2 linked regions of the Saccharomyces cerevisiae S288C genome follow. Changing the gene in region 1 together with any one later gene gives a genetic interaction. Each region holds a gene or a part of one and is shown in the gene's direction. Other genes may lie near its edges.

Region 1 (10,503 bases):
GTTTTGTTACCTTAGAAATCGACAATGCCGCTACTCAACTATCAGTACACTTGATATTTTATGTCCTCGAGTTGGGTTTGAATCACATCGTCAAGAAGGCAGATTATTTAGTTAACCCATCTGCCAATTTCGTACTGAGTTTGCCAGATCTATCGCGATATAATATAACAACTTCGCTAAGCGACAACAACTATGATGCTGACTATGATACCCTTTTCAACCCTTTTGTTGTCATAGGCTTCGAAAATCATATTCTGGTAAAGGATATGAACGGATTTTTCAGCCTGAAAGTGGAAATACCCAAAAGATCTATCACAAATAGCCGTCATAAAAATGTAACAATCATATCAGGCATAGTGCAGAAATTGAAAAATGATTTTTTCGTACTTTTACAATCTAACCATGGCGATCTTTTTAAGTTAACTGTAAGTCCAGACACTAATGATAGAAATAGACCTTTAGTTCAATTGTCCTACTTTGATACAATCCAAAATTCACACCAATTACACATTTTCAAAAACGGTTATCTTTTTGCACTATCTGAAATGAATAACAACTTTCTTTTCCAGTTTGAGAAACTTGGTGTAGAGAAAAATGATTTTTCTAATGTTTTAACCTCAAAAGATCCAAATAAGTCGCTAGTTTTCGAACCATCCATAAAGTTGCAGAATTTGAGCATATTATCGCAACAATTGAATTTGAACCCTTCAATAAAATCTCAAATTGTCAGTGATTCGCCACTGTCTATCGCCACTAAACATTTTACAAACAACAAGATAATAACTTTAACAAATGCTGTGAATTACTCTAATTTGATATCTACTAGTTTACCCCCGAACGCAACCAAGTTATGGCTAATACCCGATCCTGCAACAACCGGCGATAACAATACTCTTTTGTTCATAACTTTTCCCAAGAAAACTATGATACTACAAATTGACAACGAGTCCATGGAGGAACTAACACCGGATGAAGCAACGCGTTCAGCTTTCAAGCTCTCTCAGGACACAACAATTCATACATGCCTAATGGGCTCACACTCTATTATCCAAGTATGCACCGCAGAACTAAGACATATCGTACCGACTGGTAAATCTAGGTATTCTAATAAGCTGACTTGGGTGCCACCAGCGGGAATTCGTATTGTATGTGCCACGTCCTCGAAAACACAACTAATTATATCATTATCAAATTACGAATTGGTTTATTTCAAGATAGATGTATCTTCGGATTCGTTAATCGAATTAACCACCCACCCAGAATTGGACACAATGCCCTCTAAAGTTGCGATTGTGCAAGATACGCAGCATGCTGATTTATTAGCCATTGCTGACAATGAGGGTATGATCAAAATAATGTCTCTTAAAGACCAAAAGGAAGATTTTTTAACTGTAATAAGTTTGCAATTAGTTAGTGAAAAGATTTCTGACATGATAATGGTTAGAGATTCCTCAATAGGACAGCTTAATTTGCATGTAGGTTTAGAAAATGGCGTTTACATGAAATTTCATATAGGGGATGTTGACGGATCGTTCACTGACATAAAAAGGCGATTCCTTGGCTTGAAGCCTGTTTCCCTTTCGTATTTGCGTGAGATATCTGTATCACTAAATAATGAGGAAGAAGAAGAAGAAGAAGAAGACGATGATGATGAAAAAGAAGAAGAAGAAATAAATAGTAGTGGAGCTAAATGGATGTCATGCGTGGTTTGCCATTCCTCTTCTACATGGGTAAGCTACACGTGGAAAAATGTGTGGACCATACGGCAGTTAAAGGATCAAAACATGCTAAGTTGTTCCAAATTTGTTAACGCAGATGTTGCAATCAACGGTGTTTGTTCAATATCGAGCTCAGGACGCTTAAATATTGGCAGAGTTTCCAACTTTCCAACTTTGGATAACTGGTTTCACGTTCATGAATCAAGTGTTAACAAGCAAGAGAACGGTGGAGGAGATGAAAGCAATGAAGAGGAAGAAGATGAAATGGAAGAAGAAATGGAAATGTTACAAATATCTACATTCCGACCTCGTACTATTTTATCATTTCCCAATAATCCGAAAAGCATTTTGTTTATTGATAATCACAGTGGTAAGAAACAATGCCGTATATCACTGCAAATTGATGGTGAATGCTTAAAGTTTGGCAGTTCGGATCATTTATACAAGATACTGGACGATATCGATTGCGTTTCCGCTGCTATAATAGATTTCACAAGACAAGCTGATCATTTGATCATTTGTGCTGGCGACAAAAGGCTGTTAACATACAAGATATTAGTTAACAAAGATAAACTATCTTTTGATATTGAATTACTTCACCAAACAGAAATCATTTCACCAATACATGCTATGTTGAAGTTTAAAAACTTCTTGCTGACAGCCATGGGCTCCACTATTGTCCTTTATGGTTTGGGGAAAAAGCAATTATTAAGAAGGTCCGTAACACAGACCCCGGTATCCATAACAAAAATTGTGTCTATGCACCAGTGGAATTATGAAAGACTGGCCGTTGGTGATATACATGAATCTGTCACTTTATTTATCTGGGATCCTGCGGGGAATGTATTTATTCCGTACGTAGATGACTCTGTAAAACGCCATGTGACGGTATTGAAATTTCTAGATGAGGCAACTGTTATAGGCGCTGATAGATATGGAAATGCGTGGACTTTAAGGTCTCCACCAGAGTGCGAAAAAATCATGTCAAATCATGATCCCAGCGAATTATCTAATGGGGCCATCAAGTACCCACTAGACGTCATCACTTTACAGCAGAAATTACCCAATACTTATGATTGCAAGTTCAAGTTTCAACTACTGAACCACTTCTTTGTTAATGATATCATCACTGATTTCCATATCCTGGACAGCCTTTCAAATTCTGATAGACCTGGTTGTATCTATATGGGCTTACAAGGAACCGTGGGATGCTTTATCCCCTTATTATCCAAGGGGAATGTTTTTATGATGGGAAACATTGAGAATATAATGGCTGAGGCGGATGATACGTTTTATTTAGATTATGAATCAAGAAAGAAGAATAACAATATGCGTAAGGAAGACGATGAAGAGGAATCTGGAAGTGTTGTGTTACAAGGACGGCATGGTATAGAGGATGAAATAATATGTGAGGGTTCCTGTTCCATTTTAGGTAGAGACCACCAAGAATACAGAAGCTATTATGCCCCTGTACGTAAAGTTATTGATGGTGATTTATGTGAAAATTTCCTGAGACTTTCCTTGAATGAGCAGGAATTTTTGGCCAAAAATTTAAAGAGTGTACAAGTGGAGGATATAATTCAAACAATCAACGAAGTCAGAACAAATTACATGTAATGATTTTACAGTAATAATACCAAGTATAAAGGCGTGTTAATGTATTTTCTTAATAAATATATGTACAAGGAATATATGATAGCTTTAAATATAAGAAATATAAAATTTCACCTCATCTTTATTTCTGTTTTAAAAGGAAACCGTTTTAATTCATCGATATGCCACCTCTGTACATTTCGTCGATGATTTTACCGTTTTCCAAGTTTTCACATAACAGCTTCAAGTTGTGTGGGTAAACTTTACCAAACCATAATGAATCCAGCTTGTTTTGCATCTTTTCTCTGCCGAATAGTTTATAGAAAATGACATTACCAGCAAAAATATGACCCCCAATATGAGAAATTAAGGCTAGATTATTCTCAGGAAAAAGCTTTTCATCTTGAAATGCTGCAATTATGTCGGGTCCCATTTCTCCACACTTAGCATCTCTCTTATAATGCCCACAGACTAAGTTCCAATCTCTTAGAAAAGTTTCACCCTGAAACCTTGTAAGCTTTCTATGATGCACTTCATGAACCTGTTGGGAAGCCTTGGCCTTACCGCTTAAATAATCCTGGAAGGATAGCTTTGGTGCTTGAATAGCTCCTTCATCTAAAAAAGATGCAAATTCCTCGATGTCCGTTTCCTTAATTACATAAAGCTTCATGTCAGGAATAACAAAAAAATAAAGCCATTCATCGTGTTGTTTTGGCCTTGGAATAAATTCATTTTGCAAATGCACCGCATTTATTAGTATTCCTGGAGAACCACCTAAATGGGAGCGCAATTTACTAATGGCATTATATGGCCGATTTGTATTAGTATCCAAATTATGATTCCATGCTACCTTCCATGGTTGAGCAAACCTATCACCCGGTGATAACAGCAAAACATGCTTATTGTAATTGGGCGTTCTATGAGGAAGCTTGATATGAGGATCTAATGGATCAGTTTTTGAAGGCAGCCTTGCGTTTATTTCTTGGCAATAACAGTTTGTTTGATCATTTTGAGCACGGGTATGAAGATCAGGAACGCTAATATGTTTGAAGCTATGATGGAAGGATGCCCGCTGCTGCAAAGTTTTGACAGTTATACGTAGCATTTTATTTTTTGTGTCAGTGCACCTTCTCTCACTTTTCTACTAAGGAAATTTGATATTTCAAATGTAGTATGCTAATAAATAAGAACACCCGCATGCACGAAAAAGGGAAATTTAAAACTAGTTAGGTAAACAAAGTTCAGAACAAGAAATGATATGGTTGTTTTACATAGATATATACTCAGTATTCGTTTTTATAACGTTCGCTGCACTGGGGGCCAAGCACAGGGCAAGATGCTTTTATAAACTATAATGCGAGATATTGCTAACGTTTAATGTGGAGCCCATCATGTTACTTTTATAAACGCTCTCGATTAACCTGTGTAATATCAGAGCATCCATCAAGGTGGGAAAGCCTTCGAAATCGAAACCTTGCATTACAAATTGTGAGGGTAATTCAGGAATTTTCTTTGTATTGAAGTGGAAGTCAGAGATAGATTGATACAGTCGATGAATATTACCCACAATGGCATTATAATTTCGTAAATGATATACTTCCATGATTTCTTTACCTGCATCATACCCCGGGTCTAAAGGAGCTTGTTGTCCATTGGCTAGCGGGAAGTCGTTTGCTCTAGTTCCACTGTAGTAAAGGACCAGATTTGAAATTTCTGCGAAGCCGGCATCGCCTTCAAGTTTCAAATCTCCCTTGGTACCGTGAATGTCAATGACCAAATTTTTGGTAAATTTTTTGGTAGGTTTGCCACCTTTGAAACTGCATGACACTGGAACATTGCCATTTAACAATGTGCCTTGGAATAAAAGATGATCCGGTACTGTCTTTGGGACTCGCTGGCCCAATCGGTTACCACGCTCATCTATCAGCTCTTGCTCTGGAATATTATTGAAAACCATTGCATTTATCCTGGAAAAGTACGAACTTGTCATGTATTGTAAAATATCGATTGTGTGACCAAATGTTGTGGTTACCAGATCTACACCGTTCCCGATTTCATAGATGTATTTTGGTGATTTAACAGGCCTTTCGTAGCCGTACCAACCGCCATTTCCAGCAATCTCGATCGAATTAATGTCGCCGATATAGCCTTGAGATATTAATTCTTTTGCTCTCAAAATATATGGTGATTTACGACCTTGTAAAGAGATGATGGTTTGAACCCCACGTTCAGCAGCAGCCTTATAAATGGATTCGGCTTGATCTAGTGAACATGCAAGGGCCCATTCTACGAAAAGATACTTGAGGTTCGGATTATTTTTGGAGAATTCCAAGAGAGGCATAACAACTTCATAATGGCTGGCCACTTGGATAGCTATCACTATCATATCTATAGTGGAAGATGATGCAAATGACTCTAAAGTGGGAAAAGCAGTGGCATTACTCAATTTTAGACGCTGAATGGTGGCAATAGAAGTCTCAATTTTTGGACTGTATAAGGCAGTGATTTGAAATTGTGACGATAGTTGCAGTATGGCGGGGTAATGTGTCTTGATTGCCCATCCTTTGGCTGCGTTGAGACCGACGAATCCGACTCTTATGGGAGCTGCATTAGGCACGGTTGAGACCGAAGATCTCTTGTTGTAGTCCATGACGGGAGTGGAAAGAACGGGAAACCAACTATCGAGATTGTATACGCTGGTCGGCAAGGACCAGCAGTGATATGTGATGTATATATATTCAGGTTCAAAAAAAAAAGTTATGAGCTTTTGGTTATTATGAATGTAGCAGACATTTTGAGGTCGTTCGGGCGAGAGTGCGCCGGTAAATGAAGAAAATATAGGATATTATTAATATTAGAATTAAACTATTATATTGCAGGGGAGAGAAGAAAGGGGTATAAATATATATTACAAAGCGGAAAACTTGCGCCATTTAAACAGAGACATCGTCCGGGCGCTCGTGTGATTTTCTTATAGTGAAGAAGTTAATACCTTTAGGTTGGTTTTCCGTAGCAGCAGTGGCAGTGACCGGATTAGCATTGGAAGAAGGCCCCACTATGCTTGCACTTTGTTGCATGTCTTCAGGTCCAGTGGCAGTCAATATTGGGTCAGTTGCTTGCTCCTTCTCTCTATGGAAGGGATTCCATCTGGAGGAGGTTCTGTATCTTGAATTGTCGATGGAGTAAGTAGAGGCCAACCTTGCCCTAACAGACCAGAAGACCAGCAGGATAAATTCCACGATACATAAAAAGACACTTGCCCAAGCCATACCCATCATAGAGGCACCCAATTGGGCACTACGATGATCGTCATGGAAAGCATTCTTTGCCATGGCAGAGGCGGCCGTTTGCAAGACAACGGCTGCCGTATTGAAGACAAACCCAAAAGACATGAGGATAAGCACCATCTCTGAAAGCATCTTCGAGCACCAAGTCAAAACGTAAAGGATAAACGACACACCTACAAAGGCAAGCGCAATCCAAAAGAAACAAAATGAAAATCTAGTCAGGTAGTAAAAAGCGTCTCTTTTGGAAATAAACTGGTGAGGGACATTGATGTGTGTGTTGAAGTTATCTACTGGGGAAATGGGGTATGCAGGTGCCAAATTGCTTGTGCAGGTATCCGACCCGTCTTTATCCTGTAGACAGGCGCCCCAAAACGTCCAACGTGTTTCATCCCCAGCATTAGGTATGCCTGTTGTATTGCCCTGCACCCAATAGAATCTGTTCACGGGGTAATGGTCCGTGGCACCAGATATAATCATCAAAATTAACAGCAAGGTATTACCTGCTAAAAACAGCAACACTACCAGACGTAGTACTATATTCCAGACCTTAACCATAGTATTGTGCGGATATGCGTTACTATACTTAGTCTCTTCAATATCTACGGGAGTCAAGAGGTATTAATAAATCTTCTTGCGTGGGTGTTGCTTGTTTGTTTGCTGTTTAAGTATCGAGGAGATGTTGAAAAATGTATCGGGGGCCTCGAGGCGACACCTGCTAATGTTTACAATTTTCCCGATTGGGGTGCTAGAGGCATACAGTGGGCTACATGGCACAGCACGGCAGTGCAGAGTGAGAAAATATGACTTCACGCTCGAGGCGAGGCCACGCTTTCGAAGCTTCGAATGCCACTACCTAGACCATTGCTGTTTTGTACCTTCACGGTCCCATTAGAGACATTTTACTTAATGCAAGATTGCCATATCCGTTGTCATGGTACCAAACAGGGTAATAATTTCTAGAAATCATGATACACGTATGACATCTGGGTAACCTAATCCATCTGGGTAACCGATTTTTCTCTCCCTTTGCTTTCTCTTTACCACTCAGCTGACTTTATTATTTTTTTTATATTTTTCATTTTGACAAAATTATATAGTTAGGAAGAATACAATAGGACTGCGACAGAAACAGATAAGGGCTCTTTTTTCTTGGGGTTGGCTGCTTTTATTCATTAATTTAAGACTCAAGTGTGCTGCGTGAAATGCTCTCATACTATGAACACAATACTGCGTTCCAAACAAACAATTGCAATTCCGGTAGCAATGCCGCCACTACATACAACAGCGACGCCAATAATGATACGATCATGAATAAAAGAAAAAATGACCATTTCGAGTTTGATACACACACTTTCTACCAAAGATCGAAGAGAACAAAACGAGATTCTGTAAGTACAAAGTTTTCGGTCGGTTCCGGGTGTGCTAATCTTAATAACAACAACAACAACATCATCATCAACAACAACAACAACAACAATAATAATAATAATAACCATAATCATAATAACAGCAATAATACTGCAACCTACAATAATATTCATTATAAAAAAAATATCGAAATATGTCCCCTGAAACCGGTTAGTATGCACCACACTATGAACAGCCGCTTACTGAACGAATCTGAATTTTATTCTGAAACAGAAGAGTACATGATTCATGGTTATTTCGGTAACACTAATCGCGACATAACAGGCACGAGTCCTACTGGAAGTGCTAGTATTATACAACACCAGTATCATCTTCTACCATCCCAAAGTATAATTGCATCACAAGCACCCGGTACTGCCATGGCCGCGTTGACTAACAACAATATCGCTAACGATTACATGGATATAGATTAATAAGAAAAAAAATAACTGCAGGAAATGAAAATGAAAATGAAATGGAAAAAAAAAAAAGAAAATTTAACCTATTTAAAATAATACAATGTATTACATATTTATCACGACTGTTTACGTATCTCTACTCAATTTACTTTAAAGGCTAAGTGCTCATTCTGGCTACCTTACATCTATCTATAAAACGTTCAAAACTCAAACCTCACTAGGCCTGGAGAAAAAGGGAAAAAAAATATCTCCCGGGGGCGAGTCGAACGCCCGATCTCAAGATTTCGTAGTGGTAAATTACAGTCTTGCGCCTTAAACCAACTTGGCTACCGAGAGTGACTATTTTGATTTACTTCAAAATAAAGTGTCAGTACTACCCTTATTATATGAATGTTGTCGTAACCTCTCGGATTATATGTAGACAATGTTATGGATATATAGAATATAAGTGTTGGAATAAAAATCAACTATCATCTACTAACTAGTATTTACGTTACTAGTATATTATCATATACGGTGTTAGAAGATGACGCAAATGATGAGAAATAGTCATCTAAATTAGTGGAAGCTGAAACGCAAGGATTGATAATGTAATAGGATCAATGAATATTAACATATAAAATGATGATAATAATATTTATAGAATTGTGTAGAATTGCAGATTCCCTTTTATGGATTCCTAAATCCTCGAGGAGAACTTCTAGTACATTCTACATACCTAATATTATTGCCTTATTAAAAATGGAATCCCAACGATTATCTCAAAATTCACCCATTCTTCAATAAGAATTTACGAAATAAATCCGGTAACCATAAATCCACAGAGCCTCTTATATTCACTCTGTTCCTCCATCGCCTATTGAGAAACGTTGGAATAAAACTCTAAAAATATCATCTAGTTAGTTAGTTTTTATTTTACCAGTACATTGTCACTTGCGGAGGGAGGATGACATAAAGATTGAGACGCAGTCATTTAATGAAGTTTAAACGCGGGTACTTGATAAAGTAATACGATATTGAATCATGACGTATAAAGTGAAATGAACGAATGATTACGTAAAAATGTCGATTTTCTCTTGAGAGACTCCCATAGCCTCTAAGAGGCCTTCTACTACGTTCCATATATCTAAGAATGGGGCCATATCCAGTGGAATCCCAGCAATTATTTGAGAATCACCATTTCTCAGCCGATATTTTAGCAGAATTACTACCAATATCAGGGGGCAATAGTTGATCGCCTACTTTAACAAAAAATGTTGCTCACGTATTAACACAGGCAACAAAAAGGATATTACGCAAGAACGTAGTATCCACATGCCATCCTCCTTGTTGCATCTTTTTTTTCCGAAATGATTCCCTTTCCTGCACAACACGAGATCTTTCACGCATACATCGGAAGGATCACCCCCCACTCAAGTCGTTGCATTGCTAACATGTGGCATTCTGCCCATTTTTTTCACGAAAATTCTCTCTCTATAATGAAGACCCTTGTGCCCTGGACTCTGTAATACTTGAAACTACTTCCTCAATAATCGCTTGGAGACCTACCCCCACGCTTTTCAAACAAGGCGCTAGCAAAAAGCCTGCCGATATCTCCTTGCCCCCTCCTCCTGTTCGAGAGAACTACGACCCGACCAATAATAATGTCATACAAGAACCGCCAAGAACCAACTGCTGAACCTTAGATCTCCAATACTTTCAGTTGGAGTATGTGAATATATAAGTACCTGGTCGACTAATCTTCTTGCATCTTTTCGTATTCTTACATCCTATGTCGCTAATACAGTTCCCGCATAGAGAAGAAAGCAAACAAAAGTAGTCAATGCTAAAATACAAACCTTTACTAAAAATCTCGAAGAACTGTGAGGCTGCTATCCTCAGAGCGTCTAAGACTAGATTGAACACAATCCGCGCGTACGGTTCTACCGTTCCAAAATCCAAGTCGTTCGAACAAGACTCAAGAAAACGCACACAGTCATGGACTGCCTTGAGAGTCGGTGCAATTCTAGCCGCTACTAGTTCCGTGGCGTATCTAAACTGGCATAATGGCCAAATAGACAACGAGCCGAAACTGGATAT
Region 2 (4,136 bases), on another chromosome or scaffold:
GGTTATTTGACTGGTATGTTGTCGCAACATCTGGGTCCCCCACCGTTGTATACCGCAATAAAGAAGTTTTATCGATCAGTGTTCAAAAAAGATCCTTGAACAGTAAAATCATATCAGCGTCAAGTAATTTAAATGGTATTGAAAGTTCCCAAAAAAATGATTTATTATACACTTCAAATTTGAGAAATTCAAATGACTATCTGTCAAAAATTTTAGTATTAAGAGGTATTAAAAGGGTGTCTTACAAAGCTGGAATTGAGATATCAAATTTCTTTTTAACGGGATTTTCCTTCTTTATCATATTCATTTGTATGATAATATTGGCGTTTATTATCTTCAAAACATTTTTGAAAGTACTTCAGAAGTTTAAAGTTAAGACAATTAGATATTTACACTTCCACACACATTGGAGTGCACTTTTACAGGGGACACTATATCGAGCGGTGTTCATAATTTATTCTGAGATATCTCTTTTAGCACTTTGGGAGTTCACTCAAACAGACTCAGCAGCTACCTTAGTGGAGGCAATCGTTGTTTTCATTTTGATTACAGTCTTGTTATCATCCGCAAGCGTAAGAATATGGAGGAAGATGATCAAGTCTAAGAAAATATTTGGCCAGCCAAGCTATTTACTCTTCAGTAGCTCGAAATTCTTAAACAAGTTCGGCTTTCTTTCCTCTCAATTTAAGTCTACAAAAGTCTGGTGGTTAATGGCGACCTCTGCACACATGCTTATTAGGTCTATACTAGTGGGTTCTCTACAAGCGCACGGAAAATCTCAATCTATTGGTATCTTTTTGAATGAAGCTATCTATCTCATCCTTTTGTGCTGGATGCAACCTTACATGGATAAAACAACCAACTTCTTCAATATTAGTATCCATTCACTGAATTTAGTGAACGCATTTTTTTTCTTATTTTTCAGTAACTTATTTCAGCAGCCCATAGCTGTGTCTTCTTTTATGGGACTAATTTTCTTTTTTCTAAATGCAGCGTTTTCTTTGTATCTCTTCATTTTCATATTGATATGCTTTACGATGGCAATATACTACAAACACCCTGATACAAGATACAAACCTATTGATGATCAAAGACGATCCTTTTTGAAGGGTGAAATGGATGATGATGCGGTTTACGAATCGGTCCCGGAACTGCACGAAATGAAGAAAGCCGTTCTTGAATGCAACGGTATTCAAAAGCCGCAGATCAATAAGATTGACCTTTGTAAACAAAATTCGAACTGTGAATATCTGTATATGTGAATAAATAAAATCGTGACTAATACGTCCGGTAGGATTTGCCTTCCTGCAAAATTTCTTCTGATTTTGGAATTTGAAAGGTTGTAAGACCATCTCGGAACTAAATATAATCTCCGGAGTATCTCCAACGAAGAAAACATAAAGCGTTGTTAGGACTTAATAGAGGTCAGATAAAGAAAATCTACTGAAACGTATAGAGCGGATGAAATATCACTTTCTGATCTTGCTGAACAAAATTTCTTCGATAAAAGATGTACTTTACAGACGAATCATCACCGGCAATGAATAGAGTAGGTAAAAAAAGGAATAGACTTTCTTTTGTTTGCCAAGCTTGTAGAAAAGCAAAGACGAAGTGTGACCAGGAAAAACCTAGATGTGGCAGATGTACTAAACAAAACCTCTTTTGTATATATGATGTCGCCAGACAGGCGGCCCCTAGGAATCCGAATAAGGATGCCACCATAGCGAGACTGAAAAAGGAGATTCGTTACTGGAGAAATAAAACCGTGGATTTGACTCAAGAAAAGAAAGACTTCTACACTGCATTGAAAAGGCCGACTGAAGAATTAGCTGCTAGAAGGACATGTAAAAGCTTGCAGGAAAATAGCTTTCCAATAAGTCTTTATAAGACTCATCCCAGATTGATTATGACCAAAGTGATGAAAAGAGAAATCAACCCTTTATCTGAGAAGTACTTAATATTTCAAGATACCTTTCTGAAGACATTAATTGCCTCCGTGCTTCTAAGTTGTTCCAGAAACTCCATGATTCCTGCTTTAAATGCAGATATTAGTAGGTCGAGGACACAGCCATGCGTAAAGAATAACGTTGTAAAAATGAGAGAGGTTCTATTGAAAAACTCAAAATACGAATCACAAAGAAAATCCATTAACGAGTTTACGGACAGGCTACTACAGAGAAAGAACCCTGAAGAACAGATTGCGGTAAATAAAGTAATTTCTTTATTATACAGTAACAGGGAATCGTCATATTTAGAGGATACATGCCCCACCGAAAACGACTATTCTGATTTGTTGAAAGGCTACATCAATGAAATCGAGAAAACGCTCCCTCCCAAGGCAATCATTGAACAGTACCTCTCTCATTTCTTTGAGCATATTTTCCACCTAATCCCTTTCGCCAGCAAGGAAATGTTGGAGGAATCAATTCACACAACAGTACAGTATAATGAATTAGGAGAGGTACGACTATCGATGGGCACAACCCTTATACGAAATAAAATGGAGAATCTGTGTATCTTACTGTTAATTTTGAGGATCGCGTATATCTCTTTGACATTTATAGAAGATAAGATTGAAGATTACAGTCCGTATATTACCAAAGAGATGCTAGAGCAATATCCGATTCAAAGCGAAGTAATTTTCCTAGCGCAGCAGATACTTGCATCGGAAAATTGGTGTGCTTGTGCAAATGAAAATACCATTTCATGCTTACTCTATATCTGGTGTGCATTTGTTTTTTCCCCAACTGAGGGTGATTTTCTGTTAGAACAACCGTCGGATGTTATAATTAACCTTGTCATACTAATAGGGACGTCTATCGGATTACATCGTGACCCATCTGACTTTCCAGCCTTGAACCACCCCGAAGCTTCAGACAAAAGGCTGCTAAATTTACGAAGGATACAGTGGCTATCAATTATCTCTATGGCAACTCTGGAGTCAAGCCTGAAGGGTAGACTATTGGTCTCACCCCTTTCAATGATTGATCTTTTCATTGACGTTCGGGATCCCAATTGTGTAGAAATCTATAAAAAAAGGGTTAAGAAGGATCTAACAGGTTCCGAATCGGATGAGCAACTGCTCGAAATCCATGAGATTTTTTTCCATAGGGCTCAATTAGCATTATTCTTGTCTGATTTGAATAATATAACCATTTCATACAGTGGTTCGGTTCCAATGGATACACTAGAAACTTTACGCGTTAAAGCCAATGAACTTTTAAAAAACAAATTTCAGCTAAGAAGTGTGGATATTAACATCTACGACGAAGAGAAGACATTTCAAAAACTAACGTTCAATTCAATTTTGAATTCTATAAGTTTATCGGGCCAGATCTTGGGTAAATTAATGATGTTAAGGGCCTCAATAGCGCTGATGTTATATTTTGAAACACTTGCAATGGAGAGAAGCGAATGCTTATCCTTCTTCTATAAGTATTTTTTTCAATGTTGTGCCGACACCATTTCCCTAATCAGATTTTTTTTCCTGTATTTCAATGGCAGTTACGAGAAAGTTCTTTCTTCTTTAGTTTGTTTCATCACTACAAAAGTTATTCAATTGGCTGTTCCTACCACGATGTTTACCCTTTTGGTCATCATCATGCGGGTAGAGCTGGCCAAAAATATGCTTCTGGTCAAATGTAACGAATGCAATGCCAGAGGTGACATTAGTGACCTCCCAGAAATAAAGGAGAAAATAAAGTCATTGGACACTATCAAGGAGAACTTCGAGAGGCTTTTGTTGGAAGTATATTTACTTGCGTCCCAAAACCTGAGATTTAAATATTTCTACATTTTCAAGATGTTGACCTTGTTTGACGTATTCATTCAAAGGCTGAGGAAAGGTCAATTATTTTCTGGTTTGTTTGTCAAAGTAGACAAAGACTTGACTACCAAAAAAATTGCCACAATGTTGGAGTTGACACTTGGAATTAACTTGGACAAGTCTGACCATTTAATTGATAGACTAAAGGGCAAAAATCTCACTGTTAACTTTACCCTTGATCAATTATACCAAATCATCAAAGAATTTGACAGAATAAAAAACATCGGTGTTGCTGACCCACAAAATTCTCTGAATCCATCAAAACCAAACATGAAAGATAATACACCCACAATTGAACTTTTACTCAACT

The links.
Region 2: mutations in YML054C-A (region 1) and PIP2 together harm fitness more than expected from each alone (negative genetic interaction), as found in Saccharomyces cerevisiae (one large-scale study listed by BioGRID).

What each region holds. Positions count from the first base shown.
Region 1 is NC_001145.3:167,052-177,554, reverse strand, and holds YML054C-A (uncharacterized protein), read left to right. Parts: upstream 1-9,773; coding exon 9,774-9,932; downstream 9,933-10,503. Other genes in the region: U2 snRNP complex subunit RSE1, read left to right, coding at 1-3,335; AIM32 (Aim32p), read right to left, coding at 3,481-4,416; transcription regulator GAL80, read right to left, coding at 4,654-5,961; SUR7 (Sur7p), read right to left, coding at 6,245-7,153; YML053C (uncharacterized protein), read left to right, coding at 7,801-8,439; CYB2 (L-lactate dehydrogenase (cytochrome)), read left to right, coding at 10,247-10,503.
Region 2 is NC_001147.6:1,020,587-1,024,722, reverse strand, and holds the start of PIP2 (oleate-activated transcription factor PIP2), read left to right. Parts: upstream 1-1,510; coding exon 1,511-4,136. Other genes in the region: YOR365C (putative flavin adenine dinucleotide transporter), read left to right, coding at 1-1,262. UniProt on the Saccharomyces cerevisiae protein: The PIP2-OAF1 heterodimer acts as a transcriptional activator to induce the transcription of genes encoding proteins involved in fatty acid beta-oxidation, a response called oleic acid induction, when cells grow on fatty acids as sole carbon source.